Linked DNA regions of Elephas maximus indicus. The protein of the gene in region 2 purifies or fractionates together with the protein of the main gene of each other region. This does not show direct contact. Links are inferred from orthologs where the notes say so. Each region holds a gene or a part of one and is shown on either strand. Other genes may lie near its edges.

What was found.
Region 1: the proteins of SMARCA1 (region 2) and cat eye syndrome critical region protein 2 purify together in Homo sapiens (affinity purification with mass spectrometry; 3 studies listed by BioGRID and IntAct, with this or other methods). This does not show direct contact. The link is inferred for Elephas maximus indicus from reciprocal best matches to the Homo sapiens genes SMARCA1 and CECR2.
Region 3: the proteins of SMARCA1 (region 2) and BPTF purify together in Homo sapiens (affinity purification with mass spectrometry; 4 studies listed by BioGRID and IntAct, with this or other methods). This does not show direct contact. The link is inferred for Elephas maximus indicus from reciprocal best matches to the Homo sapiens genes SMARCA1 and BPTF.
Region 4: the proteins of SMARCA1 (region 2) and POLE3 purify together in Homo sapiens (affinity purification with mass spectrometry; 3 studies listed by BioGRID and IntAct, with this or other methods). This does not show direct contact. The link is inferred for Elephas maximus indicus from reciprocal best matches to the Homo sapiens genes SMARCA1 and POLE3.

What each region holds. Positions count from the first base shown.
Region 1 is NC_064822.1:55,490,757-55,498,447, forward strand, and holds the start of cat eye syndrome critical region protein 2, read right to left. Parts: upstream 3,049-7,691; 5' UTR 2,710-3,048; coding exon 2,584-2,709; intron 2,379-2,583; exon of another isoform or gene 2,238-2,378; coding exon of another isoform or gene 2,189-2,237; intron 1-2,188. UniProt on the Homo sapiens protein: Regulatory subunit of the ATP-dependent CERF-1 and CERF-5 ISWI chromatin remodeling complexes, which form ordered nucleosome arrays on chromatin and facilitate access to DNA during DNA-templated processes such as DNA replication, transcription, and repair.
Region 2 is NC_064846.1:26,951,741-26,959,275, forward strand, and holds the start of SMARCA1 (probable global transcription activator SNF2L1), read left to right. Parts: upstream 1-4,534; 5' UTR 4,535-4,592; intron 4,593-4,963; 5' UTR 4,964-5,032; coding exon 5,033-5,203; intron 5,204-7,535.
Region 3 is NC_064837.1:56,115,856-56,123,426, forward strand, and holds the start of BPTF (nucleosome-remodeling factor subunit BPTF), read right to left. Parts: upstream 3,005-7,571; 5' UTR 2,969-3,004; coding exon 2,356-2,968; intron 1-2,355. UniProt on the Homo sapiens protein: Regulatory subunit of the ATP-dependent NURF-1 and NURF-5 ISWI chromatin remodeling complexes, which form ordered nucleosome arrays on chromatin and facilitate access to DNA during DNA-templated processes such as DNA replication, transcription, and repair.
Region 4 is NC_064827.1:62,659,296-62,667,011, forward strand, and holds POLE3 (DNA polymerase epsilon subunit 3), read right to left. Parts: upstream 3,011-7,716; 5' UTR 2,880-3,010; coding exon 2,814-2,879; intron 2,715-2,813; coding exon 2,629-2,714; intron 2,259-2,628; coding exon 2,140-2,258; intron 1,854-2,139; coding exon 1,681-1,853; 3' UTR 309-1,680; downstream 1-308. Other genes in the region: C9H9orf43 (uncharacterized protein C9orf43 homolog), read left to right, coding at 5,623-5,773, 5,881-6,024. UniProt on the Homo sapiens protein: Accessory component of the DNA polymerase epsilon complex. Participates in DNA repair and in chromosomal DNA replication.

The DNA.
Region 1 (7,691 bases), on a different chromosome or scaffold from region 2:
TCAAAACACACCTAACCAGAAAAATATTACATAACAACTGCAAAGGGAAAAAGTCACTATCATTGGTAATCCATCTTACTGAACACCTCCAAACAAGACAGGTGTGAGTAGTTCTTAAAATGTGTGTATACTGCATCCCAAATATTCATTCGTGGTGTATGTATTTCAAATAGCATATGCTTCACGAAAAAAAGTGTCACTTCCAAGAAACACTAGAATCAAAAGAGAAGACAGTCATCTCAAATGGTTGCGCTTACTCACCATGTAACTAGAATGATTTTTCATTTCTGTTATGCATACAAATCTTTGATCGGCTTACATTTCCTTTAGGAATCAAGCCAGCTAATACTTAGAAACCACAAGTTTATTTCTTAAAACCGGAAGATGAGTTATTTATAGACGACTCTAGATGTACTATAAGGATTTAAGGCAAAATTAGTTACCTCTACTATTCAACCAACAAAATGGGAACATGCACATGAACTCTGAGGTGAATTTTTCCACGGTATTTGTAGAATGGGTCTTAAACACTAAATTTGAAATCTTAGCATCACCTCAACTTTATAATCTTGCAAGGAAGAAAAAGGGCTACTAGAGGGCAAGTTTACCAGCACCCAAAATGGCATTGTCCCAAGCCTCAACACCTCCCACAACAGCCACCATTTTGAGCAGCAGGATATAATTAACCTAGCCACAATCTTATACCAACTAAAAGAAAACGCAGGACGTGAGAAGAATTGTTAAACATCTCCTGACTTTTAACATTCCCAAATCTTTAATTTCTGTGGCCGTTTCTTCAGTTGGTTAAGTCAATACAAATATTTGTCTAAGGTATTTTCCAATAAGTCCCACAAACACTTTTATTAAAAATCATGCTTGTTACATTCGCTTTCAAACTTTGAAAACAAATGCTGTGGTGCTATGTAAAATATCCAAGTTCTTAAGCACTCCTTAAAAAAACAGATGGGGGAAGCCTATGATTTAATCACATTGTTTTAATCAGCTTAAGGTACTAAGAATCGCTAAAAGCCATTGAGTGGCCCTAGTTTATCAGTCTACATTCCTCTTCATTCTCTCATCCCACCCCCTTTTGATCTTTTTATTTTTCCGATTTCATTAATTCTGCAACAAGAGCAAGTACCCACACTTCATTCACAGTAAGATGCAAATGATATTTCAGCAAACACGACTAAATCTAGAAATAAAGATTAAGGCCAAAATCTTGGGAGTAAAACCAATCAGAAAATGGCAGAAAGTAACCTATGTGGTCGGGATGAAGAGGGAACAACAACGATTTCCTCCTCCACAAGAGTGATTATTATTTTGACGACTCCTTCGGCGAACCCACTGGCAGAATTGAAAAGAAAACCTGACCGACAAATAGTTTCCATTTACCTTTGTCCAAAGGCAAAAAAGGTGATCAAGTCACTGCATATATTGCCATAAGGGAGAAAGCAATTCAACCTGCCAACCAATCAAATATTTCACACCCCCTGCCAAAAATAAAAATATAAAGGAGGATGGAGGCTGGTGGGGCTAGGTGCCTGTTTTAGAGCATTCTGTACCTCATACTCCCGCCACCATCCCTGTTACTATGACCCTCTGATTTTAGTTCAATTATCACAAAGCCTCGGGTTTGAAAGCACCTTCGGCCTGGCCAGAAAAGCCATCCCTTTCCTCCACGCTCGCCCGGATTAATAATGGTGGCGAAATCAGCTCAAAGAGCTCCCCGAATAAAGACGGCAGTATTCCGAGAGCAAAGGGGCTGGAAAAGAATAACGGAGTCCCAAACTTTCCCTCCGCAGCCGCGAAGCCCAGAGCAAGGGCTCGATGCCGGAGCTGCTCCTCCGAAGAGAGCGCGCCCCCCGGCCCAGGCCATCATCTCCGCCAGCCCAAAGTTAACCCAAAGCGCCCCCCGAGAGTTGCGGGTCTCCGGGAGTCTGCAAAGTGCGACTCCCCCCCCCAACGCGCCCACCGAAGTGGGGGCGAGTCTCGCCCCAGCACAACAGATTCCTCCCCCAAGCAACCCCAGCGCCCGCCTCCCCGCCCGCGGTCCGAGTTAATCCACCGCCGGCGCCCCCCACCCCCAGCCCCCTCGACCGCCTGCACCCCGTCCCCGCCCGGAGCAGCTGGCTCGCAGCTTCAATGGCACCGGGAAGGGAGCGCGCGCGCGCACGCACTCTCTCACCACACTCAGCCTCTCCTTCCAGAGAACTCCCGGGAGAGCCGCCCCCCATTCCCACTCCTACAAAAGCAGAGGCTCTCCCTCCTCCTTTCCGCTACTCTCTTCGCCGCCTTCTTCTAGAAGCCGCGGGTGAGCACAGGGACCGCCCGAGAGAAAGTCCCAAACCCGGACGCCCGCACTTGGCGTCCTTTGCAAAGCCCGGAGGAGCTCCCGCCCGCCCTCCTCCCCTCTGCGCCTCGCGCCCCCCACCTCCGACCCCTTCTCCTGGCTCCCGACTACAGGCAAAAGTCTCTCGCTCTCCAGCTCCGTCCTTCAGGATGTTCCGGGACTCCCCGAGTGGGGCAGAGGGAGAAAGGGGCGCACTGTGCGCCGCCTCGCCCGCTCCTCGCCGCACTCACCTCGATCTCAAAGTCGGGCAGGCGGAACGCGGTGCGAAAGAGCGAACAGAAGTGTGCGATGGCCGGGACTTCCCACCAGGAGCGGAGCTCGCCCAGCCCAGCCGCGCCGCCCTCCTCCGGGCACATCTCCCAGGCGCGGCGGTGGCGGCGGCCCCGAGCTCGAAGCGCGCCTCGGCGGCCCCACGCTGTCCGCGTTCGGCTCGCTCAGCTCGGACTCCCGCCGCGGCGCAGCGCCTCAGCTACTCCGGCGGGGGTGGCGGCGGCTGCTACGCCCGCTGCTGCCGCCGCTCGGCGTGTGCATGAGCTGAGGGCGGGCGACCCAGGCGGGGGGCGTCGGCTCGAGGGCCCGAGTTACTGAGGCGGCTGCTGCTCCCGCAGCCTGCGGGGTCCGCGCGCTCGCCCCATTCTGCTTATGCGGCTGAGGCCGCCCCCAGTCCCATACAATATAATCATCTCACCGCTGGGGAAAACAGATGGGGCTGGGAGGGGCGGGGGGGAGGGGGCCGAACAGAGGGCCTGGGGGAGGGGCCGCACACGAGGAGGGGGCGGGGCCGTCCCTCACCACAACAACAACCCCCGCCCCCACTTTCCACCCCCCCCGCCTGGACAGCTGCATTGAACGAGAAGGGGGAGGGGAGGGGGGCTGAGCACCCCAAGAAAGAGAGGGAGTGTGACTTGAAGGGAGCGAGGTGCAGCCCTATGAATTACTACTACATATACTCTGCTTTCCAGGCGGTTAGGACTGAAGAGTTTAGTTACTTTTATGTTGGAAGACAATAAGGGTCTCTCCCACCCCCCACGTGGCCTTAGTGGTCGCGTCCTTTTAAAGGGCCAGCTGGGTGGTGCTTTCGGTAGGGGCTAGATCCAGAAACGTGCACGTGTGGGAGTTCAGTTATTATTGATACTGACGGTAGTACAGGGGAACGAGTGGGACGTCCACCCCAGAAATATGAGGCCTAGAGAAATTAAGTGGTTTCCACCTGTTCTTTAACGCTTTTATTCCCTTCAAGAACAGTGCTTCAAGGAGATCTAAAGTGGCTCTTTCTCCAAAGGAGAAAGGTGGTGGGGCTGGTTAAGCTGGAACTAAGTAGGATGGAGGCTGCAGAGCAGCGGGAAGGGTGGGGTAGGGGGGAGGCACCAATCAGCAGCCATGCGGGAAGAGGGATCCCCCCCCCCCCCAGGGAATGGACACGTGTGACCGCCCTAGAGAAGACGGGTTATGAGCACTGCAACTGCCCTCGCGGTGGAAAAGCTGCCTGGAAGAGTGCGCACAATGTGGCTAGAAAGCTTGGGGGATGGGGAAAGTGCGAACGAGAGTCTGGGGAGTTTGTTCTGGTGGGGGTGGAGACGCACGCCTAGGCTAAGGGAATGTGATCTAGGAGAAGGGTGTTGAGGCGTGGGCTTTAGAAATGTTAAATACTATGGCTTGTTAGAATTGTGTTAAACCCGAAAGGAAAAAAAATCACCTCCAAAACAAACTAGAAGTTTTGAAAAACTACGTTGAATGCCCAGCTATTTTCAGGCACGTTGGTCTTTGCAATTATTTAGAACTATATTCTACTCAAGCCTCAAAGGGCCTTAGCTCGTTCCTGTAGTCTTCCTCTCAGGAAGCACTGCCCCTGACACTTCCCAAAATTAATCATATATGTATTGAGTGATGTATGTACGGTGATAAAATCAAAGACCCTCTTCTACCTCTGAGCAGTATACAGTCTGGAGGGAATGGCAAACATGATGAACGAATTTATTAGATGATTTTGGAGTGGGCTGTCTGGATAATTCTCCCCTACCCCTCCCCTACTTTGTTCTGATCATGTTAATAACCTGTTGTGGTTTTTATAAGCCAGCATTCAAAAACAAATTCCTAAAATGTATACTTACGTGTGTCTTCAGGGAATCAGCTAATCTCTAAATACTTCATCTTCTAGCATTGCTCTCTCTCTGCGGAATAGAAACAGCCGAGGAGTTGTGCTTTTTCATCCTCAAATTCTACCATGTTTTAATTTTTGACAAAAGTGAGCACACATATAAATGTTCCCAAAAAGCAAAGACAACATTTTTATGTGTTTTTAAAGCTCAGCTACGGTATAGATATCCCATTAATAGATGAGATGTGAAAAGGGCGACAAGCCACTGTGGGATTAATCATATAACCTAAATTAGATGTTTTCTGACTTTTTTCTCCTGTCTCTCTTCATTTCCTCATCCATCAATTTCACTTTCCACACTTTTTCCTCTCCTTATTTTAAAAATGCTGTTTTTCTTCATATTTGTTTCTAATCCATTATACCCTGACTCTTATTTCCCCACCTTTTTCCTGATTCTTCATCTGTCTGCTCACTCTTGCCTTTATCTTTTATCGTTGTTTAACCTCTTTAGCTGTCCTCACAATTGTCCCTACTAGCCAGACTAGTAATAATAGTGCCTAAAATGTTAATACCAGGAAGTAACCGGTGAGAAGAAGATTTGGCTACTCGTTAATTACTCTTGTACATTTGAATGCCAGTTACAAACTTCTTCCCTCCACCTCCTACCCCAAACTGGAGGTTACTCTATTGTCTTCCTCTCCCCGCCCCCCCGCCCCCCGACCCCCGTCACCAAGCCAGGTCTTGTAAATCAACAAGGCTGTCCTAGAACTGGAGGTGCCCCCCTAGTGGTGGTTGGAGATTGGTCTCCTACTCTCTTTCTCAGCACCTTTCTTTCCCTAATGTGTGACCTGACTTCTAGCTGCCATTTTCTTCTGAGAGTCCGCACCCAATGCCCGTACGATCCTGCAGGTCATCTTTACACCTATTTAATTCTATCATTCTCTAACCCTGGTCCACTCTCCGCAATGTTTTGCTTGGCTCCTCCCCATCTATCGCTGTAATCTTACTCCCCTCCATCCCACCCCATTCCTAGCTCAGCCTTCACCCTGAGTCGGAAATCAGTTCTTAGCCCCAGGAGCTAAGGAGCCTAATATATCTTGAGCCTGACCATAAATCTGATCTCTGAATTCCGAGTTTTTGCTCTAGCTAGAGCCTTCAGCATGGATTACACCTCAACATAAGGAAAACAAAAATCCTCACGACTGGACCAATGAGCAACATCATGATAAGTGGAGAAAAGATTGAAGTTGTCAAGGATTTCATTTTACTTGGATCCACAATCAACAGCCACGGAAGCAGCAGTCAAGAAATCAAAAGGCGCGTTGCATTGGGCAAATCTGCTGCAAAGGACCTCTTGAAAGTGTTGAAGAGCAAAGATGTCACCCTGAAGACTAAGGTGCGCCTGACCTAAGCCATCGTATTTTCAATTGCATCATATGCATGTGAAAGCTGGACAATGAATAAGGAAGACCGAAGAAGAGCTGACGCCTTTGAATTGTGGTGTTGACGAAGAATATTGAATATACCATGGACTGCTAAAAGAACGAACAAATCTGTCTTAGAAGCACAACCAGAATGCTCCTTAGAGGCAAGAATGGCGAGACTGTGTCTTACATACTTTGGACATGTTGCTAGGAGGGATCAGTCCCTGGAGAAGGACATCATGCTTGGCAGAGTACAGGGTCGGTGGAAAAGAGGAAGACTCTCAACGAGGTGGATTGACACAGTGGCTGCAACAATGGGCTCAAGCATAACGACGATTGTAAGGATGGCACGGGCCCGGGCAGTGTTTCGTTCTGTTGTGCATAGGGTTGCTATGAGTTGGAACCCACTCGACGGCACCTAACAACAACAACAACAGAACCTTCCATTTAGACCTCCGCTGACTGTCTCCCGTGGACCTCTGTTGGAACTGATACTCTGAATCACTGACCCTGCTTTGACCATTTGTTTATTACAGTCTCAGCTCTATTTTTCTGGACTTATTTCCAGCCTTATCTCCTAGAATCTAGATTAAGGACGTCTGTAACCAGTTAACCAGTGCCATTGAGTCAATTCTGACTCATGGTGACCCCATGTGTGTCACAGTAGAATTGTGCTCCATAGAGTTTTCAGTGGCTGATTTTTCAATATAGATTGCCAGGACTTTCTTCCGAGGCACTTCTGAGCGGACTGGACCCTCTAACCTTTTGATTAGCAGCCAAGCTCATTAACCATTTGCACTACCCGGGGACTCTGAAGAGGGCTATATGCCAGGCTAATTTAAATTCTTAGAAATTGTAGAAATTGAATCAGATTAGTATGCAGGAAATCTTTGTTCTCTCTTAGAAAGGCTCTTAATCACCTTATACCTTCATCTGTGAGAGGAAGGGCTTGGACTAAATGATTCTTGAGTTCTATGGCTTTAATCTTTAAAATACAGCCAGATTAACTTCCATGAAATTTAAATTCAGTCATGTCGATCATCTGCTCAAAATTCAATGACTCTCACTTGCACATGAGAGACAGTCTCAAGTCCTGTGGATTCTTTTTTTTTTAAATTGTACTTTAGATGAAGGTTTACAGAGCAAATTAGTTTCTCGTTGAACAATGTACATATTGTTTTGTGGTATTGGTTGCCAGCCCCACGACATGTCAACACTCTCCCCTTCTCAAACTTGGGTTCCCTGTTACCAGCTTTCCTGTCCCCTCCTGCTTTCTTGTCCTTGCCCCTAGGTCAGCATGTCCGTCTAGACTTGTTTTGTTTTACAGGCCAGTCTAATCTTTGGCTGAAGGGTAAACCTCAGGAGTGACTTCAGTAGTGAGTTAAAAGGGTGTGCAAGGGCCATACTCTAAGGGTCCTGTAGATTCTTATTCAAGACTTGCCACAATTTGGTTTCAACCTGCCTTTCCAGCCATATCTGCTCTCCACACCCTCACCTCTATCCCACCAGTGACTCCTTTCCTCCTGCCGTACTGGCTCACTTACGCAATGCCATCTCCTTGCCTCCTCCCTTTTGATCATTTAGTTGCCTGGAATGACTTATAACTCACCCTCTCTGGTCATAACCCACTCAAAACTCAATTCCTTTTTAAAACCAAAAAAACCAAACCCGTTGCTGTAGAGTCCATCTATCTTGCCCACTGTAGCCAGATTTATCTTCTTCAAACTATGCATCAGTTTTAAGAAGTTGAATTCAATTTAAATAATATATTTTCTTAAACGCAATATATCTAAAATAGTATTATTTCAACATGTAA
Region 2 (7,535 bases):
GTCTTCAGTACGAAATTCGTCTTTTTCTTTTTTTTTTTTGACTCACCCTGTCCACTAGTACATACTCCTTCTGCCAGGATTATTTCAATCTGTCCAGTTTCAAGCGATGTTTTTTGACTCACCTTTTAAAACATTAGTTATTTATTATAAAAGTAATATACCTTCACTGAGAAAAATTAGAATAGAGAAGCAAATGTAAGAAAAAAATCATTCAGAATTCCACCACCTTGCTATAACTACTGCTAACATTTGGAGTAGAACCTTCCAGGCTTTTTGTTTTATGGAAATATATTTATGTAAATGGATTATTTATTTTTTTAATGGGATCACTCTATTTTGTTGTCTGCCCTTTTTTCACTTAATATATGAGGAACATATTTTCCATGTCAACAGATACATATTTAGGTAATCATTCTTAATGGCCACATAGTATTCCATTTGTGAATATACTATACAATGTTTTGCAAATCCTCTCTTGGATATCTAAGTTATTTCCATTAGGTTTTCCCCCTCCTTTAATTAAGGAGCCCTGGTGGCACAGTGGTTAAGCTCTCAGCTGCTAACCAGAAGGTCAGCAGTTTGAACCTACCAGTTGCTCCGCGGGGAGAAAAATGTGGCGGTCTGCTCCCATAAAGACTAACTCCCCCCGCCCAAAAAAACCCAAACCTGTTGCCGTGGAGTCGATTCTGACTCATAGCGACCTTATAGGACAGAGTAGAACTGTCCCCATAGAGTTCTGTAAAGGTTACAACCTTGGAAACTCCATGGGGGCAGTTCTACTCTGTCCTATAGCGTCTCTATGAATCGGAATTGACTTGACAGCAAATGGGTTTTGGTATCTTAATTGTCCCAAGTCCCATTACTGTTCTGAGAATATATTTTAGGTACATGCAAGAATCCCAAATTATTCTCCAATTTCCACCTTACACCTTACACATTTATGTAGAGCTAAAGAAGTTATCTGGATAAGTACATACTACCAGAGCTGTAAGAGTGACAATGTTTCCTCATAAAGCTAGCAACAGGTGGCAGACATATTTTTCCACCATTTTCTCAATATGATTTCTACTGTCCAGGAGAAAGCCCTGTGAAGAATAGAGAACTTAATAAAGGTGAAGTGGAAAGATGAGGTGTGGAGCCAGACAGTCCAGGATTTGAATCTGGCTTTGGTCACTTACTAGCTGTGGAACCTCAGATGAGTTATTTAGCCTCTCTGACTCTCAGTTTTCTCATCTGGAAAATAGGGATAATAATATTTGTTTCATGGAATTATCATGGCAATTAAAAAAAAACTTTTTTTTTTTTATTACACATCATATGGAAAGAACCTAGCACAGTCCTGATACAACAGCGGGTGCTCGAGAAACAATAGAAGTATACTAAAACACAAAAAAAACCCCAATATACTAAAAAAAAAAAAGCTGTTACTATTTCCTTTTCTTTAGCATACACGGCAGCAAAGAAATATCACATTTTCAAAGAGGCCATCATCATAAGTGTCTTCAAGAAGAATGGTGAGAAAGTTTACTGATATGAACAGCATGGTTACTAGAGTTTTAAGCAAGACAGTGTGACCAGCCAGAATCTTTCGTACTAGCTTCTAAAGAACAGTCACCAGTGGGATAACAATGTGGTTTTAAGTCATACTGTGGTTTTGATGATAAATTTCAGACACAGGATAAGAGAAGGAACATCAAGCCCTTGACCTTGCCTTTATGAACTTTACAAAAACATTTAATACCACCAGTGGACCTGCATTCTGGTAGCAAAACAAGTTGGGCTATGTGAAAATGACTACTGGACAACCTCTACAACATTCACAATCTGCCAACATGGACACATTGTCCAGTAGACTAGCATTCACTTTGAGGTTCCCAAATATGGTCTCATAGTTCTTTATAAAAATGTTGCTTTGTTCTCCAACCCCAAGAGAGTGGAGCAATTAAAGACCATTTTGAATGAAGACACATAACAGGAGAAAGCAGTAACAGAGCAAGGTGCTGAATAAGATCAGAAGAGAGGTAACTCTTGTTGAACAAAGTCTATAGATCACGAATTTTAGACAGATTTGCAAATAGGGGTAGCACATGCTCTGTAAATAGCAGCTGCTGCCACAAGTCAAAGGGCAGTGTTTACATGAATCCTGTGGCAAGGACTATTGACCAAGCATCGATCTTTACGGCCAAATTCATATACTTGGGAGCATTTTCAGTGGTGTCTTCTAGAAAATGGAGGATCATATTATACATACATGAAAAATCTTCAATGTACACATATGTTCTGTCCCCCAAATTAATTTCTAAGTTCTTTTTTTTTTTTGGAACTTGGAACACGTTTCCACAGAAAAGGTGTTATAAAGGGATGAGTTTCTCAGATTTCCTCACAAAAGTGCACTGAACCCACAATATAACGAGTATGCTGTACATTTTGCCATGAGAAATACAGTGGAATAAAGTTTCCTTGCAAGCAGGAGCACATCAATACACAATATTTATTTTTTTTTAAATAATATTTTATTGAGTTTTTGGTGAAAGTTTATTCAGTTCCCATTTAACAATTTCTGCACAATTTGTTCAGTGACATTGGTTACATTTAACCAATATTTCTTGAGCCTTTCTCCTTTGAAGCCCCAGGAGAAGAAATGGGATCCTATCTTCCCATACCCACCATACCAAAACGAAACCCGCTGCCATCGAGTTGATTTCAACTCATAGCAACCCTATAAAAAACCCTATAGGACAGAGTAAAACTGCCCTATAGAGATTCCAAGGAGCGCCTGGCAGATTCGAACTGCCGACCTTTGGTTAGCAGCCATAGCACTTAACCACTACACCACCAGGGTTTCCCCCATACTCACAGCTTGGTGACAAAGAAATCCTCCACTGCCATTATCTGGAAGGGCTCTTCTTAAGTTAGGTGGGTGCATGAATTACAGCATTGTGTCTTATGGTCCTTTTTGAACTTTCCCACCAAAGGGCCTTTAAAGATTGAACAGGGAGTGGGAAAGGGTGAGAATGTCTAACTGGAAGTTTCAAGCTTTTCTTTGGAGACACTCCAAATTCTGCAGTCCACTCCTTAATACATCTGCGCATTTTAATAGAAAAAAACTGTGTTTAAAATGATCAGTTAAGAGGCTTAATTTTGTGCCATTTTTTGAGTAAAGTTGATGCTCCAGAAACATGAGCCATTTTTTACTGAGGCTCCCTATTTCCCCTTGGATAGTACACATGTGCACTCCAGGCTAAGAAACATGGGGGCCGGGGGCAGTGGGAATCTAAGTGAGAGGAACATAATAAAAGTAACCAGCACTATCAGCCCCTGCTTTCAGCAGCACACCCCTTCAGTCACCAGTGTCCTGCTCTTAGCCTCTTTTTTTTTTCTCACTCAAAGTCAGTTCCCAGATAGGATCATACACTCATTTGCACTAAGGTGTAAATGATTCAATAATAGCTGAAAAGGTCACATGGTTTTTGCATTAAGGATTCACATTTTTAAAGCAGAAAGGAATTTAGAATATAATCCCCAGGGAAAAGGGTTTTTTTTGGGGGGGGGGAGGGAACGCTTTCCTGCTGTTTCCAGATATCACACACACCTCATTTAAGATTGGTAATTTAGGAGGGTATAAACCCATACCCATTAAGAGGGTATGGAGGGTCTATCAAGGGAATTTGAGCCCTGGTGGCACAGTGGTTAAGAGCTATGGTGGCTGACCAAAAGGTCAGCAGTTTGAATCCACCAGATGCTCCTTGGAAACCCTATGGCGCAGTTCTATTCTGTCCCATAGGGTCGCTATGAGTCAGAGCTGACCCGACGGCACCTAACAACATCAAGGGAAATTAACCATGATTTGTTTTTTTTCACTTTGGGAAGTATTTGCTTCATTTTGGAAATTGTAGACTTTGTGGTTGTTGTTTGCTATGCTGTTTTTTGTATGTTTTGTTATCTTGTGTCCCTAATGACTGAAATTTGAAAGCTTGGATGTAAATCTTCTCATTATGGATCAAAATAAATGTTGAGGAGAAATAGTAACAATAATATTTAATAGTTCCTTTGCATAGTGTTGCACCCTTTACAAAGTGCTTTCATACCCATAATCATGTATATCATCAGTGCTCAATTACTACCAAATAACAACAAAGGGAGTGTGAATAGGAAGAGCACTAAAAAAATCACAGCGATTCAATCCAATCACACGTACTTGGTACCCACCATATGCTACCTCAGATTCTCTGGGACCCTTGACCTTGCCCCCCAGGAGTTTTAAAATTCAGTGGCTAAGGCAAAAGAAAGGTTCTGCAGATGGGCCTTCTGACAGGTATCAGAGTTGGAAAAAAGAGCAAACATGCATAAAACCCAAGAGCCAGGCTTTGCCTTGTGAGTGTTTGCAGCTGCAATCAGGAGATGCAAGGAGTGCTTCTCCTTTTGAAGAATTTAGGATGGTAGGTATAGCTCCACCAATTCCCGCTTAGAGACCTGGGAAAGGTCAGTCCCCAGAGGCGTTCCGGGTTTTGAAAACGGTAAGAATGACCTGCTACAGAACAGTTAGAAGCCGAGGAAAAGTTCTTTGTGCAAGGAGGGGAGAGCGCCCTGAGGTACAAAGAGCAGATTTCAGGCAAAGAGGATTCCTTCTGCACACTTCTGCGAGGGGAGCTCGGCTGACTGTTGGGGGCGTGTGGGGAAGAAGATTTGTAGGGGGCCGTGGCCGTGGGTTCCCGCTTCCACCCCTGTCCGCGCCCCACACCCAGGCAACAGTTGGTCGCGCGGGGCCCGCCCGGGCTCTGGGTGGGGAGGGGGAGTCTCGCGATCGTTGAGGGGGGGTGGAGGCAGGGGGGAGGGCGACGGGGGGAGGCCATGACGTAGGGTGGGTGGACGGAAGTGGGGCAGGGTTGAGGGTTATTTAAAGAAGGGGGGGCCGAGCGAAGGGGTTGGAAGCGGAGTGATTCCTCACCCCGGCTCCATCTAGCTCTTTCCAGAGCAGCCACTGTCGCCGCCCCGGAGCCCTCGTCCCCTTCCTCGTCCCTGCTCCAACGCCATGGAGCCGGACACCGCCGCAGTGGCAGCCACCGTGGCAGCCGCTGATGCGACCGCCACAATCGTGGTCCTAGAGGACGAGCAGCCGGGGCCGTCCACCTCGAAGCAGGAGGGAGCGGCCGCCGCGGGCACCGAAGCCACCGCGGCCACGGAGAAGGGCGAGAAGAACGAGGTAGAGAGGAAGGGGGTGTGTGTGGGGGGCGGACAAACGCGGGCCTGACCCCGCCGAGGGCCCCAACCCTGACCTTTCGGCGCCGACAGGTACCTCCGGAGGCAGCGCCGCAGGGCTGGGGGCGGCGGGCGCGGGCGGGGGGCGGTGGCGCGGCCAGCCGGCCTCCCCTCCCCCTTCCTGTCGCCGCCAGCCGGCGGGGGCGGGGCGCGGCGCGGGCCGGAGGGCGCGGGAGCCGGGCCGGGGGCTGCGGAGCCCCGCGACAGCCCCGGCCCCCTCCCCATTCCCGGAACTGGGGGACGGCGGGGAGGTGGGGCGGTGCAGGAACCCGCCGCCGCCGCCGCCGCCGCCGCCGCCGCCGCTCCCTTTCCCTCTCCGCGCGCCCTCCCTTCCCGGCGGCCTCCGCTTGGGAAATCTGGGCCCTTCAATCCCACCCTCGCGCCGCAGGGGCTTCGCTGCGGCTGGTTTTTTCTTTGCGTTTCAAGGTGCTGGTGGTTGGGGGGCGCAGGATGAGAGGGAAGACATTTCTTTCTTTGCTTGGCAATGTCGGCCTTTTGGATGGCAGAAGAAAATCATTCCTTGTTCTTTCTGTCCCTGCCTGCTGAAGTGGGGGGTGTCACCCCGAGAAAGCGAGCTATCCGCGGCGTGCCCCCCAGCCGCAAGCTGAGGAACCGTGGACCTTGGCTTAGGAAAATTTCCAACGTATGCACCCCCACTCCCTCCCGCCCCGCCCCCGACGGTATAGTGTTTCACTCCAGGGCCACCCAAATGGTCCCCCAATCCGGCCCCACGCCTCCCAGGCTTCCGCCTCCCTCTCCTAGTGGGCGCTGCTGGCTCCTGGACACAAGCAGGTTTTTTCTTTTCTTGATTTTTTTTTTTTAATCAAGCGTCGCCAGGGTGAGCTGCTGCTAATGTACATAAGGGACTTGACACCTATTAAAGCCAACCCCAGAAAATATGTATTATTTCCATAACGCATATTTCATGTGGAACCAAGACGTGCAAATGAAATTATGAAACGCGCTGAAAAATTGAGGTTTAAAAAAAATTGGATGTGGCATATGGATTTTTGATATCTAATAACGTTGCAGAACAGATCGTTTGCGGGTGGATTTTCTCTATTAGTAGACATATCACAATTTAAAAAATGGTGGGTAATTAAAATTATGCTTTAGCGATCTCAAGTGGCTTTGTCTGAATCATTACATGATAGCATACGACCAAATGAAAAGCTTTTGAGGGAAATTAACACCTTTTGTCTTGAATTAAAAGAGTCAATTTTAAATTCAGGACTTGCTTAAGTGACATTTTACTGTTACAGGGTTGACTAAACAGACAATTGTGCTGAGTGAAAACCGTGGAAAACATACAGATATTTAGATGTAGACAGTACTCGGATCAGTAAGATAAAAAAGCTGGGCCAAGTACCAAGCTTCAGTATAAATGTTGGGAGATTAAAAAATGTGTTTATTCTAAAGGTGCCTTCTATTCACCAGATTGGGCAAATGTAAAGTGCAAAGCTTTTTTTCATGTGGCGGTCAAGGTGGTCGAATTTTCCAGGCTGTATAAATTTTTCGATTTCTGAAAAGACTGGGAATCAATTAAAAAAACCCTACCACATAAAAAACAGACCTGATACATATGAGATATATAGATTCATAAACTCTGTAGCCTCATCGGAAATTGTATTTGTCCACTCAGCATGGGGAAATGGGAATGCATGGTGGGAACTTTCTGGATAACTGAAGTTTACTACTTTAGTCACTACATCTTTTTTTTTTTTAATTTTTCCCTTGAAAATCTAAGTATATTGCAAATGCCCTTGCCTCCTCAAATGGTGTGTTAAAAGTACAAGTTATCCTTTTCCTCCTGACCATCAATTATCATATCTAACACTGACACAAAGGCAGTTGAGGTCCAGGAGATGGTTTCCCCTAAAGTAAATACCCACTTCCCAGGCCCTTCCAGTATTGTGTTAATTATTTAAATACCTTTTCGGTGTCCTTCCTCAAGAGTCAAGCTGTCAGCTACCACTTTTTAAACACCTCATCTGCTTTCATCAGAAGGGAAGGACATAAATGTAACAAAATGATTTGAAATCTCTGTAAAATGCAAAAATACAAATGATGAAGCAGAGAAAGGGAAATAATGATACCTGAACACCAAGGATAAGGAATGCTGTTGTAGTGGAACACAGGTATTAGTCCTGTGTTCTTCTTGCTGTTAACAGTGTGCTACTAGAAGTCTTTCCCGTGTCATCTGCTCCTTACTTTATTCTCTGTGGTGTGGGAAGCCAGATTATCAAATTTGCTAGAATTATACGGTGAAACCTGTG
Region 3 (7,571 bases), on a different chromosome or scaffold from region 2:
TTTACCATAATACTGAGAAATAATGAGTTTCAAAAGGCAAAACAACCAAGAAGTTAACACCGTATCCCCTGAAGAAAGGAAAATGCCTGGCAAGCAACACTAAACAGCATTTCAAAACACAGTAACTCTGCTATTTAAAAATTTGCTAGTCAAACTGTTAAAATCTAATTAGACCAATTTTTAGTTTACTAAAACCAAAACATTTACGAGTTATAGCACCCACTAGGGAATTATCAAAACTTCATCTATTTCAAGTTCTCGCCTACTAACTATGGCTTATCCAGACCGCCTTTGATGAGCACCTGCTATGGGCATGACTAGGAGGCGCAAGGGAGATGAGATCAAGATCTCTCATTAAGGAGTTAATAATTTTATAAAGGGATAGGACAAGTATACACAAGGTAGACTACAAACGTCATTAGGAAAAAAAATGTCACAGATACGTCATAAATACACAAGTTTTTTTTTTTTTTTTTTAAGGAAACCAGACCACGAATTGTCATGTAATTCAGCCCATGCACAGCCAACAATCCAAAGTATTATTTGTTAGGCCTTCAAACAGGAGTTAAAGTTAGCTAAACTGCCATACCAAAAAATGCCTTAGCTCCTCTCTAACCTGGAAGAACTTCCTCCAACAGTGAAATTCAGTTTCTATGGTTCATTCAATTCTAGGCTCTTGGTAGAAAGTGAACATGTGTGATTTCTTAAAGTAAAAAAACTTATTACTATAAAAAGATGTACTAAAATTACGCTGGCAAGGAACAAAACTTTTGTGCAGTCCCTTTCACATACAAAAGACAAATACTTAACACTTAATTCATTACCTTCACTCTCCCCTGCCTGTCTCCACCCTCAACAAAGACAGACACGCTCTCATTGTCAGGCAAAAGCCACTACCTTTCCCATTTCACGTTAAGACAACCAAAACAGGTTTATATCCGGTTTCATACTTCTCCAATAGGTACTGAAGCATTTGCAAAAAATGGAAACATTTCAATTTAACTACTTTTTCTACCCTAGTCTCTCTTAAACACTAGTAACACACCTTAATTTTCCAAGATCCCCGTATTTCCTCATAAACTACTTTGTAAATGCTCTTAAAACCAGATTCTAATTTAGTTAACCCAGACAAACCAAAATACAATGTCTGGCAGGTTTTTGCTACATATTTGTTTGTTTTTTTTCCAGAATTTAGTAAGCTGCAACTACGTATTTAATACAAAGCAGCAATTGTGTTGTATTTTTTTGTTTCTTTTTTTAACAAAAGGCATTTCAGCACCAACCTAGAGAAACGTCCTGAGAGAAAACAGGAGAGGAGTCACCACGAAGAAGTCCATTACTGATCCTGGATGGACTTTCAGCCTCAGAAACAGAGTGAAAAGCAAAAGTTGTTTTCTAATAGCCCTCCTCCCCCCAGTATCTCTGCTGTGTGACTTAGAAGTTGGTCCAAGTGGTCATCTTCAGCAATTATGTCTGGGTGATCAACTACGCGTCTTCTGCAACAGGTGACATGAAACTGTCTTTCCCAAGCAAAGCAATCGCCATCAAATTAGTAAGACGGCATGCTCCTGCGGTTTTTTACTTTTATTTTGGATTTTACCCAAATGATTTTGAATCGGATGAATTACCGAATTTGCTTTGGGTTTGGTTTTCTGCTTTGCTTTTCAATCAGCCATTTACCAGCCACTGTTGCACGAGCCCATTAACACCCAAGAAATAAAAACAAACACACAGGGCCAGATAAGTAAGGCTTCCTCTACTAACCCAACTGATCTATTTCCTTAACACAGTTTTTAAACCACATAGCTAGGGGAGTGAAGGGAAGAAAGTTTTGTTTGTTTGTGTGTATTTATGTGTCTGCCACAATCTATCTAAACCCTAAACCCCCTTTTAAGGAGCAGATAGACCATAAAAATCTAAAAGAACCACATTAGAAACGCAAAGAGGTTTGCAAAAACAAGTGGTTTCTTTCATTCCAAAAAACCAAACCAAAACAAGGGGAGAAAAATGAATGCAATGGATGTGTGTGTGCCAAAGTTTCAATCCTGCCCGGTGGAGACATTGCACTGGCATAAATTTTGAAGAGAAAAAAAGGGGGGCTAAGGGGAGAGAGAGCGAGCGAGTGTGGCCTGCAAAGTGCAACAATGCAATCTCCATTTTGAACAATGCGCCTCTTTCCTCTTGTAAATCTAGTTTTTTGCCACTTGATGTGCCTTCGCATTTCCCCTCGGTTTGGGGGGGCGGTGGGGGTGGGGGGAGGCCGGAGCAGGATGCACAGCACCCAAGAGGGAGTGAGCAAGGGGGGAGGGTAAGGAGGTGGGGAAGGCGTCTGCAGCAACTGGGCTGGGTGGGTACCTGGAGTGCTGCTATAGGTGCTATGGCTCCTGAAGCTGCTTTCCGTGCAATAACTAGCGTCGTCGTCGTCGTCTTCCATCTCCTCCGGATAATCGGAGTCATCGTCGTCCTCCTCCATCTCATCTTCCTCGTCGTCCTCGGAATCCTGGGTCTCCTCGGCGTCGCCGTCCTCCTCCTCCTCTTCCTCGGAGACCATGTCCTCCTCCTCCTCCTCGCTCTCGTGGTCATCGTACACCACTTTGTTGACGGCCCTCCGGGCCGGGGTGGCCCGGGCCAGGTGGCCGCCGCCGCCCCCGCCCCCCGTCCTGCCGCCCCCGCCTCCTCGCCCCCCCCGGCCCGGGGCGCTGGTGCTGGGGGGGGCCGGCGGCGGCGGCGGCGGCGGCTTCCTCCGGCTACTGCTGCCCCCCCTGGGTGAGCTCAGCCGCGTCTTGGGCGCCACCTCAGCCTGGGCGGCGGCCCACCTGCCCCGGCTGCTGCCGCGGTGCCGCGATCGGAGCCCCCCGATGGGTCCGGACGTGGGCGGCGGCGGCGGCGGCGGCGGCGGGGCCGGGGCGCAACGCTCCGCAGCGGGAGCCGCGGGCTGCTTGGGCGGCCTGCCCCGCCGGCCCCTCATGTCGGAGCCGAGGCGGGGGGAGAAGGGAAAGCGGAGGGGGGAGGGGCGGGCGGAGGGGCGGCGGTGAGGGGCGCCGGGGCCGGGTGGGGAGGCCCGCGGGGCCGGGCGGGAGGGGCCGGGCCGGCGGAAGCGGGTGGAGGGAGAAGGCTCAATCCGAATTGCTGGGGCCCCACTCCGGATCGCCTTCAGCCGCCATCTTGTTTCTTCCCTCTCGCTCGGTGACTGGGGGAACCGACAGCGGCCGCAGGCCCAGAGCGCGGTCACGTGAGCTGCGCCGCCGACGAGCCTGGGACGGAGCGAGGCCGCACGGCGGCCGCTAGGGGGAGCGCGGGAGCGCCCAGTCGGGTGCGAGGAGCCCGGGCGCCTTGGCGCGGCGGGGTGGACCTGCGGGCTCTCGCAGCGCGAGCGAGAGGTGCGCTCCGCTGAAGAAATGAATCCCGCGCAAGGCGTCGGGAGACGAAAGCCTCTGCGGAGTCCCCAGCGGAGCCCGAAATTCCCGCGTCTCCCCTCCCGGGTTCGGAGAGGAGGGCAAGGGAGCCCCAAATTTCATACTGCATGCCGCCCCCTTGGGGAAATGATGCTGCGACAGTGTCACGGAGGGGGAGGCCCGAGTGACGGGGGGGACCGGGTAGTGCTACCGACGGGGTGAAATTAACTGGGGCCCCGTAGACGAGCCCCCAGAAACGTGAAACTCCAAGCGCTTTTTTCTGGAGTCCTGAAATTGATCCCAATGACAACTGCTCCGGGGCCGTGCCAGAAACCACGCCCTGGGCTCCCAGACCCTGAAGGAAAGTCGCTTGGAAGCTTCTTGCCTCCGATAAACTCCAGGAGGCAACCACACTCTAGTTTGCGACACCTCTTCTAAGGAGCTCTGGTGGCTTGGTGGTTAAGTGCTTGGCTGTTAACGCTTACTGTAAGGGTTGGTGGTTCGAACACAGCAGCCCCTCCAAGGGGGCCTCGGTAAACCTTGTTGGGCAGTTCTGCCCTGTCCTCTAGTGTTGCTATGAGTCAGAGTCCACCAGACAGCAAGGGTTTGGGTTTTTTTGTTTTAGTTTTTTTCTTTTTACACTTTTCCTAGTGTCCCATCTAGGAACTTGATAATGGCAGCAAGAACTTTCCTGTTTCTCATTTGCAGCATAAAGGGTGACTTCCCTCCTAAAACCTGCTTCAAAATATTTTTGTCTTCTAGAGAAATTATTTATTTACCTGACAAGTCAGTAGGGTCTCAGCTTCGTCTAGGGTGGGAGTCGTGATGATGCAATTTCAGGCTCCCCACACCAAATCGGGGTGACTTAATAGGTTGGCCAAGGTACGCTCTAGGGATAAGAGAAAGGTTTTATAAACATAAGTGAGTATTTATTAAAATATGAAATATCCAAGGAGTGGTTCAAAGAAAAATAGTTAAGATAGTAGACGTGTTAACTTTGGTGAAGGGAAAGACAACACATTATGTAGGGGAGGTCAGCACAACCTGACCAAGACAAAGGAAGACACTTACAGGAGCACGAGGAAAAAAATAAAAGGCAACCACAGTAAATAAAATACTGCAGCATGTACAGTCCCGCAACAACAGTAAAAACAAATAATAACTTATAAGCAGGTACATCGGCAGATACCTATCCTGAATAGACGAAGGAGGGCGTTTAGGAGTAAACCCATGCACATATGTAGGTTAGGCTGTGGATGTTTTTACACACGTTTGTATGTACAGCGTGTATATTCATATATATATATATGATAGAGCACAAACGGAGCACAGTCATAGAAGCTTCCTCAAACCCAAAAAACCAAACCCAGTGCCGTTGAGTCTATTCCAACTCATAGCGACCCTATAGGACAGTAGAACTGCCCCATAGAGCTTCCAAGGAGCACCTAGCAGATTCGAACCGCCGACCCTTTGGTTGGCAGCCATAGCACTTAACCACTACGCCACCAGACATGTCCAAATATCTTGTGAGACTGAGTTACTGGAGCTGAGGGCTGGGAACCATGCTCTTGGGGGACATCTAGGTCAATTGGCATAACACAGTTCATAAAATGCTCAACATCCTACTTTGGTGAGTAGCATCTGGGATCTTAAAAGCTTACCAGTGGCCATCTAAGATACATCTATTTGTCCCATGCCATTCAGAGCAAAGGCGAATGAAGAAAACCAAAGACACAAGGAAAATATTAATCCAAAGGACTAAGGGACCACATGAACCACAGCCTCCACCAGCCTGAGCCCAGAAGAATTAGATGGTGCCTGGCTACCACCACCAATCGCTCTGACAGAGATCACAATAGAGGGTCCCAGACAGAGTGTGAGAAAAATGTAAAACAAAATTCAAATTTACAAAGACTGAAGGAACCCCCCAAGACTATGGCCCCCCACCCTTCTAAATGGGAACTGAAGCCACTTTCAAAGTTCACCTTTTAGCCAAAGATTAGAAAAAAAAAAATTTTTTTTTTTTAGACAACCCTATAAAACTAAGTGAAGAACATGCTTCTTAGATCAAGTATACGAGACTAAATGGGCAACACTTACCCAAAAGCAAAAAGAGAAGGTAGGAAGAGACAGGAAAACTGGATGAATGGAAATGGGGAGCCCAGGGGGAAAGAGAGAGAGTGCTGGCACATTGTAGGAATTGTAACCAATGTCATGAAACAATTTGTATAGAACTCTTTGAATGAGAAACTAATTTGCTATATAAACTTTCACCTGAAGCACAATAAAATAAATAAATAAGAAAAATAGTTAACATTATTCTGGCCACCAAATATTTTACAATGTAAGTGAAAAAATAGAACATATGTGAAATGAAAATTAAAGAAATGCAAGTGCTAACTGCCAAATTAATTTATTAGACATAATTTGGTTGAGCACCAAGGGTCACAAACTTATATGCCTTCAATGACCAGGTGAGCAGTGAAAGTAAACAAAGTGGGCAGGGTGAGGCCTTTGGAAAACTGAGCACCCAAGTTTTGTTTAGAAAGAGCAGCTACAAGAATACAGGCCTAAAATGGCCAGGTCTTCAACCTTTTCAAGAGAAGGTGCAAATGAGGATTACACATGGAAACTCTTGATTTTTAAATATTAGCAACTAAGTCAATTTTTTAAAAGCACTTCAGATGGATCAAAATATACTAGATCAGATACAGCACTTGGAATTTTTAGTTGCAAGCAATAGAAATCAACTATGGCTCATTTAAAAGAAACAGAAAAGGACTCCGTGAGACAGATATGGGTACCTCCAGAATTGCTGGTTCCAAATGTAAATGGAATCCAGGCTCCCAAGCTATTGTCTTGCAGCTGGCTCTGTAGCCAAGTGAGTGTTCCGTGGGCCATTCTACTGTTCGGACCATTCTACTGTTCCGTAAAGCTAGCTGCTTCAGGTGGTTGGGAGTGTAAATAAGGCTAGTGCATCCAAGAGGATAGCCCATTTCTTTATTTCTTTCATTTAAAGTTAGTCTCATGCTTGATACCATGGTGTATAAAATACCACGATGGTAAATAAGGTATTCAGTAAGTCCCTGTAGGGTGATGATGATGGTATAAGTATGGCTGGTGGGGGAAAGCAAATCCAACTTCAGTATAACCCTCTCCCCAATTAAGTTGACTCACTGTCCCCTTCATTATAGAGTCCATTATAATGACGCCTTCCAACATGGGCATTCAGCAATGGCAATAGCCAGTTCAGCTTTGCAGAAGGGAAGCACGTGTTGAATCCGTTATAACCTTGGTGCCAGCCCCCATTGCCACTTTGTGCATAACCCCTATAAGCAGGTACTGGCTTTACTAGGGAAGGAGTTTGACCTACATTCACAGGTTGGGTCTTCTTGCCCTCTAACTTGTTAAAGCTTCCTTAGCAGTGAGGATATTTTGATAAGTATTCATATGGGGCACAAAATCTATCACTTTCTAGGTTTATTCTGAGAGGTTCATCTATACCTTCTTTCTAAAACTTCTTGTCACCAATCCTCTTAGTCCCTGACCAGCTGGCCAAAGGGACACTGCCCATGACTTGGTGTAGAGTCTTTCTCAAGGCAAAGAGAACCACAATAAATACAACTCAAGGCTCTGCCTACTGGGAGATGTCCTTTTGCCACTGTCCTTCAAGACCACTTCCAACTGTAGCTATGGTACTTTAGCAGTCCATTTCCAGCTGATACCATCTGTAAACCAAGCTCAAATGTTGTCCTTCTTAGTTATATGGTCATGGGGAGTTGGGGTTGTGGACTGAGGAAGGAGTGGCAGTGAAGTGGGAGTAAACACTCAGTGAACTGGGAATTGCACTCCTGTGTTTCTCCAGGACCTGCTCAGGCCTGCTCTTCCATATACCATGTACTCTTCAGGATGGGAAGGCTACCGGGTATTTATGGCTAAATGAAACAGATACTCAGTTCATGATAAGCAGAACAGATTACACGGTCACCTGGTACCCCAAAGGTCAGGCTTTCTGTCTTTGCCAGGGCCCAGGAGCAAAGTTAAGAGCAGTTCTCAAAAAGAACAGTTATTAGCCAAAGAGAGTAAGACTTTGCTCCAAAACCCTAAATGTAACCATAGTGATGCTCCTTTGGGGGCTTGCCATGGACTTTGTATAGCACCCCAGTACGTGGATGT
Region 4 (7,716 bases), on a different chromosome or scaffold from region 2:
TACTTGCAGGCACTTAAAATAATGCCGGCACACATTAGGGGCTCCAGAAATGTTGGGAATTGTTGAGAATCTAGTATGGTATAGGATCCCAGCAGTCAGTCATCAGTGAAGGTTTCTGCCGTGGCTGAAGAACAGCTTCTTTGCCTGTGAACGAGCGGCACCTCCTGGTCACCCAAGGTGATGCAGAACCCCACGTTTATAAAAGCCTGGCTCAGTAATACACCATGAATCGTATGAGGCATAATCACTGGGCCATCCTCTCCAAAAGCACACCATGAACAAGGAGAATGAAACAGAAGTCATCACTTTTAACAACAATGTTCTTTATTTATACAACGCATTATAGTTTTCTCAAGATTCTTCACTCGTCAACAAACTTTTCACTGTATTCATTTGACAAGTTAACAGTATCAAACTACATTTCACTGTCAAACTCTAAGCATTCAACTTAGAGACAAAAAGTGCTTGGAGCACTGAAGAGAAAGAGAAAAAGGCTAAGAAAGGCCAACAGAAATACTTTGGAAGCAGTTAAGGGGATGGATGGTTTGGGGGAATTATATTCCTGAGCACCATCAGATTTTGCTTAACGTTTAGAGAAGTTTTACAGAATCATTTTTAAAAGGCATGAGATTATAACTAAGGAATCAGAGGAACCTTCACTTTTATATATTAAGCAGGTTATCAATGTTTCTGAACTGACAGAAGTGAAAAAAGGAAAGAGAAAGGGTGGGAATGGGAAGCAGAGCAGAGGCAGGTAGACAGAACAAGAGAACCACAAATGGAAAAAGTTGTGCATTGAGGTTATAAAGTTTGGAACTCATCATGAATTGAAGAATGAAAAGCTGGTCTCAAGTCTGAGAGATGGACTGTGAGAGAAAGCCTGGGATTTTACACCTTCTAGGGGGGTGAAGATAAATCCTAAAGCTGTACAGTGGCAGGCAGTGAGGTGCATCTAAGACTAAGCCACCTGTTTTGTAAGAATAAGACATTGGCACCCTTGCTTGACTAATTACACTCTACGGTGCTAATTTAAAAGCATGGATGCCCAGAGTGCACCCACCCCAAGAAGTTGAATAGCTATATGCAATACACAAGACTTCTAAGTCTAGGGAGTCTGTCAAGATTCACTGTCAAGTGAAGGAACAACGGGTTTCATTTTTCTCCCACAGCTTTTTAATAGTCTCTAAAACCTAAATTGCGCTTATCACTCTTAATAAGCTAGTACTGACAAATACTGTACAATCAAATATAGGCTGATCATGATCAAAGCCCAAATTTTTCCTGAGTCTCGGCTGACTGTGATCGGGAACACAGCAGGCAGGATAAAAGTTACTACTTTCTTGGGAGGTACAGGGAGGAAGGAAGTGAGAACCAAAAACTGCCTAACCATATATATAACTAAACAAGAGAGATCAAATTGGCTCATTGAATTAGCTGCTCAGTATTCCTCTTGTCAAAAAGTCATAACCTTCAGACTAATTAAGCAAAACAAGATTCTGCTACCCAGATGCGCTGAGTCTAGGAAGTGCTAGTTTTGATAATAATTCTAGCCAGTTTTATTTCCATCTTCTCAGGTACTCCCACCTAAGACTGCTCTGCCCAGCAAGTAAAAGCTTCACATAAACGTGTATCACATATTTCAAAGTGGTACCTTCCAAGGTGCCAGTCTTCCCATCCCATTCAGTTGTCCACCTCCTCCTCCTCATTCTGGTCTTCTTCTTCCAGCCTTTCCTCATCTTCATCGTTGTCCTCATCCCTGCTCTTGTCTTGTTCTTCCGAATCTGTTTTTTTGTCTTTGTCCTTTTTCTTTTGCTCTGAAGCTTCTTTCTTGCCTTTCTGCTCCCGCCTGTATGCTATAAGGAGGAAAGAGGGGGTTAGGAGGCAGGGCTGGATGAGTGAACCAGACTCCAGCAGCTAATTCCATTCCATAGCTGGAAAAGCTGAGGCACGGAAGGAAGAATAACCTGCCCGCATCAAAAACAGATCTGAGGTGGTGCAAACTGAATGGGTGCCGAGTCACACCCAGTACTGGCTTACAGGACTTTAGGGGACCCATGCTGAAAACGCCTCAGGGCCAGGTGAGCAGGTCACACAGGATGACCATCTTCTATGTGGCTGAGAAAACGGAAGGGTCGTTACCTTCCAGAGCCTCTTTCAGCGGAGTGATGAAGCGCTGAAACTCCATCTCTTCCATTGCTGAGAGCACATCGCTAGCATTCAGCGTCTTGCGCTTCCCTTTCATGGCGAAATTGTTGGCACTGAAAGAGGAAAAGCAGAAAGGGCCTTTAGAGGCTGTCAGACCCCCTCTTGATGCCTCTGGAGCGGGCAGGAAAAGCGCACCCTGAGTTGGACTGGAAAAGCCTACCACTTAGATGCATTATTTTTGTGGGTGTCATACAGCTAAGTCCCTCCCTTACCTGTACAAAAGGACTACAGCCAAATTACTTTGTTGTTGTTGTTTCACACCCTGTAACAACTGGGTGAAAGCTGTGAACCTCTCCCCACGGAGCCAGCACACAATCATTCGGGTTTGTGGGCTCCGGGCCAAGACTCCCCAGCTAAGGGTCTCTCGGAGCCTCCCTAATGGTTCAACCCTAGCTGAGCTCTGGTTAACTCTGCCCCGCTCACCAGGACGTGGCATACAGCACGAAGACGCTTGCGGCACGGGAGATGGCGCTCCGGGCCTCCTTGGAGATATTGACGCCGTCCGGGAGCTGTGAGAGAGCGGCGGTGAGCAAAGTTGCCCACCCAGGACCTGTTTCCCTCATGCCCACTCGTCCGGCCCAGCCCACCCGCTAGCCTGGCCTGCTCACCGCCTCCTTGATGATCCTGGTGATGACGGCGTTGGGCAGATTTAGGTCCTCTGGCCTTTCTGCCATTGCCGCTGCCGAGGCCAGCGCCTCCGCCTCAGGCCTCCTCTTCAAGCCACTACGGCGTCCGGACTTCCCGCGTCGATGCGGTCTGACCCACGGAGGCTTCCGTTCCGGTCCACACGGCCCACACTGTCCCACAGTGCCCTGCGCAGCATTATCGCCCCACCCCAGCCCCGCCTCCGGTCGCCGGCGCTTCCAGAGTTTCCACGCATCAGGGGTTTTGGCCCCCTGGGGTTTCCTTCAGGCCCCACAGTGCCCGGAACTCCCCACCCCAGCCCCATTTCTCTTCTTCGTGCTACTAACACGTTCGTCGCGTTCGCTGCAAATTAAGTATGGCTCACTGGGGTTTCCGTCCGTTTCCCTTGGTGCTTCGCGCCGCTGCTGGGCGACGGCTGGGCCTGGAGGTGTGAACAGAGCTGGCTGGGCGGGGCCTGCTGACGGCCGCGCCGCGAGGAGCAACGCCCTCCCGCCTGGCTTTAAACTCTTACTGCTTTGAAGTCTCCTTTGGATCCGCGAATTGTGGCTCCCGGATGCCAGTTTCTCCCACTTCTCTTTTCCGAAACGAAGCGGGGACTCTTTCTCCAGCTCTAGCGGAGCTGATGTTCATCCTTAATTTTTTCGCTGCTGCCAACTTTGTAATGCTTATACTAATAATAGCTCATATCTAGAGTTTATTCATTGCAAGCTACCTTGCTGAGGCAACGCTAATGCTTGCGGGATTGAGATGGGTGTGGCTAGATCTCGGGGCTCAATTCTGGTTGGGCATATAACGAAAGGACCCGGAGCAGTAGGTTGTAAGAATAGCGAAACTCAGTCACATTGAAAACAAACCGTGTTAAAATTGTATTTTTTAATTCATAAAATGGTTCTCCTTACATCTTTCCGAGTCCTTCAGTTTTGTAGTAGTTTTTTAATTTGTATTTTCATATTAAACGCGTAGAAATTGTCCTCACTTCTACTTATTTTTTTCTTGAAACGTGGTCCTCTTAAGCCAGCCTTTCATTTTCCTGCCCTTAATTGAGACGTGGGTACAGAGAAATATTTCCCTATTATGAGAAAAACAGCAGAGCAAATGTGCTAATAAATGGCAACTGAAACTGCTTCGGTTAGAGGCTATAGGGTCAGGTGGGGAACACTTGGATGTAGCAGACCTAGTTTAAAGATGTCAGAAGCTAATCAGCTCCAGTCATTTCCTGTTGTGTTGGAATTAGGCCCAGTATTGTTAGATATTTTGATTTTTTAAGATGGGGCAGAAATCTGGACATCAATTCTTAAAATATTATGTCTAAAGTGCAGGCCAGACAAAACAAGTCACAGACCAGATGGAATCCCAGGGCAGTAGTTTGGTATCTCTGTCCTAAATTATAAGCTCTTTAGAACAGGGACTTTATCTTGTTCATTACTGTTCTCTGTGCCCAGGACAGTTCCCCTCAGGTACCTGGTAGTCAGTAAATACGTGTTGCATAGAAGAAAGAAGAAATAGGCACTGCCCTTACAGAGCTATTAGGGTGGTAGTGATTATCTGCAGCTTCTTTAGAGAAGGCAAGATAACATTTGGTGAGCTCCTATTACGTATTACACATAAATGTACATTATCTCATTTAATACTTTTACAGTCCTCCTTAGGGATTATTTCTCCCTACTTTATATGAGGAAACAGGTTCAGAAAGGTGAAATCACTTGCTCAAGACCGTTCAGCCAGTAAATGAGAATTAATGGCCTCTGATGTAATCACATCAAGGTTATTGGTTTGCTGTTTGACCAAACACATTCATTCCTGGTGGGTATTTTAGCTGCCTGCATGGGAATTGGCACATACTGAAAAATGAAGCATGTCTTTCAAAGAAAAAGTGGTTGCTCTTTGCGTTTTTGAGCTAAGACACTTCCGTAATTTAATTGTAATTTGATAAGGCTTTTTGGAAATGGTGGCATTTCTAATGATTATGAAGGGGAAAAGAAAAAGGATGGTAATGTTTCTTATGAACTATATGTCAGACATGGTGATCTGCTTCTGTAAAGATTACAGCCTAGAAAACCCTATGGGGCAGCTTTACTCTGTCACGTGGGATCACTGTGAGTCTGAATCAACACCACGCACTTAACATATATCAGACCTTTTAATATCTGTTAACTAATTTTTGTAATAACCCTGTGAAATAGGCTTATCCTCATTTTACAAATGAAACAGGTTAAGTCCCAGTTTACTCAGCTATCAAATGGCCAATTGCGAGACATTCTGAAGTCAATCTACTTCTAAACTGTTGACATTCTGCCTCACGCTGAGATGTTTTCATACTTGCTTCTACCAAACCCTTAATTATTCTACAAAAAAATCCGTTGCTGTCGAGTTGGTTCCGACTCATAGTGACCCTACAGGACAGAGTAGAACTCAAGGAGCGGCTCATGAATTCCATCTGCTGACCTTTTGGTTAGCGGCTGAGCTCTTAACCACTGCATCACACCAGGGCTCCAATTATCCTATGACCACCGTTTATCTATATGGGCTCAATAGAAATGTTTTATACTTTGAGTCCAAATAAAGATCTGGACTGCATGGCTAATGTATCCCAGTGCTGTTGAGTCGATTGCGACTCATAGCGACCCTATAGGACAGAGTAGCACTACCCCATAGAGTTTCCAAGGAACGCCTGCGGATGCTAATGTATAATGCACTCTTAATTATGTGGTTGTCGTTTCTCCAGAAGGCTAGAAAGCTGCAGGGTTGGCTTTTGTTCTAAGCCATTTGGCTATGGACTTGCCAGATGCGAACCAGTGGGATGAAACCACTTGTGCCTCTGCTGTTTGTCCGCATCCGCAATGCTGGGCAGCTCTTCGCAGGATTGAGAGGGGCCACCCTCGATTGCTGGGTTCACCCTGCAAAACTCCCCTGGATACTGAAGGTATATTAGCCAGCGCCTGTCTCCTTCCTCACAAGTCTTTAAAGTATTTGTTTGACCTTCTTCTCCAGGTGACATGTTACATAGTTTCTTCTGGTCTGTTTTCTCAGATAAACTCCCAGTGCTCACTATTGTAAATATCTCAGATTCCCTCCGGCCTAAGAGATGTGCTCAGCGTTGTTTATCGGGATTTACCTTTGCTAAGACTCACTCTTTGTTGTCTCGGGGTTCAAAGTTTGACTCCAAATTTCAAGGCAGGTAAATTATCATTGAATCTACTTTTAAGAGCTTACTATCTCAAAATCTGGGTTATGACTTTCCTTACCCATACAGAAGACTTTGAGAATGCTGAGTTAAAAGAAAAAAAACGCTAATTCAGTTAAAGAAGCGGTAAAAACAGAGGGGAAAACCCAAAGAAAGCATTCTTACTGTGTTCTAGGAGTTGGTTAATTTGGGGGTACCTCATCAGTATCTGTAGGTCATCAGGAAACAGTTTCCACACATACTGTCTTACCTTATAACTTTATATATAAAACTGTTTGTAAGCCCCTGAATGCAGAAGGAATGACTTTTTCTTTTGAACCTCCTGTAAAGTCTAGGTACCCAATTAGTGCTTGTTGATATTGAAGCTAAGGGATAGGAATCTGTGGAAAATTTAGACTTTCAAAATCAGAAGACCTCGTTGCCTAGAATCAAAGCACTGGTTGTGGCCCTGGAGCGGTTTATTTTCTCCTGTTCATTTAAGCAGCCTTTGATGATTTCTTTTAGGCTAAAGACAGTATAAGAGAGCCCTGGTGACATAGTGGTTAAGCACTTGGCTGCTAACCAAAAGATCAGTGATTCAAACCCACCAGCTGTTCCTTGGGTTACAGATGTGGCAGTCTGCTCCTGTAAAGATTACAGCCTTGCCCTCTTTGGGGCAATTCTGCTCTGTCCTATAGGGTCGCCATGAGTCGGAATTGACTTGATGGCAATGGATTTTGAAAGACAGTATAGGAAAGGGTAGGGCTACTTTCAGGTTCTCTAGAACTTGAAACCCTGGAAAACAGCTGTGCCTCCCAGTCAGGACCTGTGATGTGCTTCGCATAGATGCACAGGCACACAGTTCCAACCCTGCCATGCCCATGGTGTGCATGAGGGAGCTGCCTCATCCAGTTAGCTCCTGGTTTCTGTGCCTTTGTCCTTCAGCCTCTCCTGCTTTCTGATCTTACCTCTTTATCCTGAACCAGCCCCTCATTACCTCGTTTGTGGGTTTTTGCAGGGTCTTCTGAGCTGGTCTCCCTGCCTCTTCCCCTCTAAATCTTATATGCTACCAACAGATTAAGTTTCCAGAAAATATTGCTCATATCTCTTTGCTCAAAGTCCATGATTAGTGCTTCATGTACTATAGAATAATACAGCCAAATTTCCCTATTGTGGAGCTGGTAGCCTCTTTACTCTCCAGCTCCTCTCTGCTCTGATACCACCTTTAACTCTGAGCCAAACTGGCTTTCCTTTTGTACTTTTCTGTCTCTGACACTTTATTCATGCAATTTCCTCCACCTTAAAAGCTCTCTTCACTCCTCTGTTTCACTAACTCTCTGTGATAGTCTGTAAGGCCCTATAAGGTCCTGCCTTCCTCATGGACCTCATCTTGCATTCCTCCCCTCCGTATTCACCAAGGTCCAGCCGTTACTGCCCTTTCTGTTCCTCACATACTCCACACTTCTATCCCAAGACTTATGTACCTGCTGTTTCCACTGAGTGGAATGCTTTTCCCCCAGATCAGGGTTTCTTCACCTGACACTTGACATTTCGGATCAGATATTTCTTTGTTTTTTGGGGGTGCTGTCCTGTGCATTGCAGGAAGTTTAGCAGCATCCCTGGGCTCTACCCATTGGATGCCAGTAGCACCCCACCCTCAGCTGTAACAAATAAAAATGCCTCTAGATATAGTCAGATGTTCC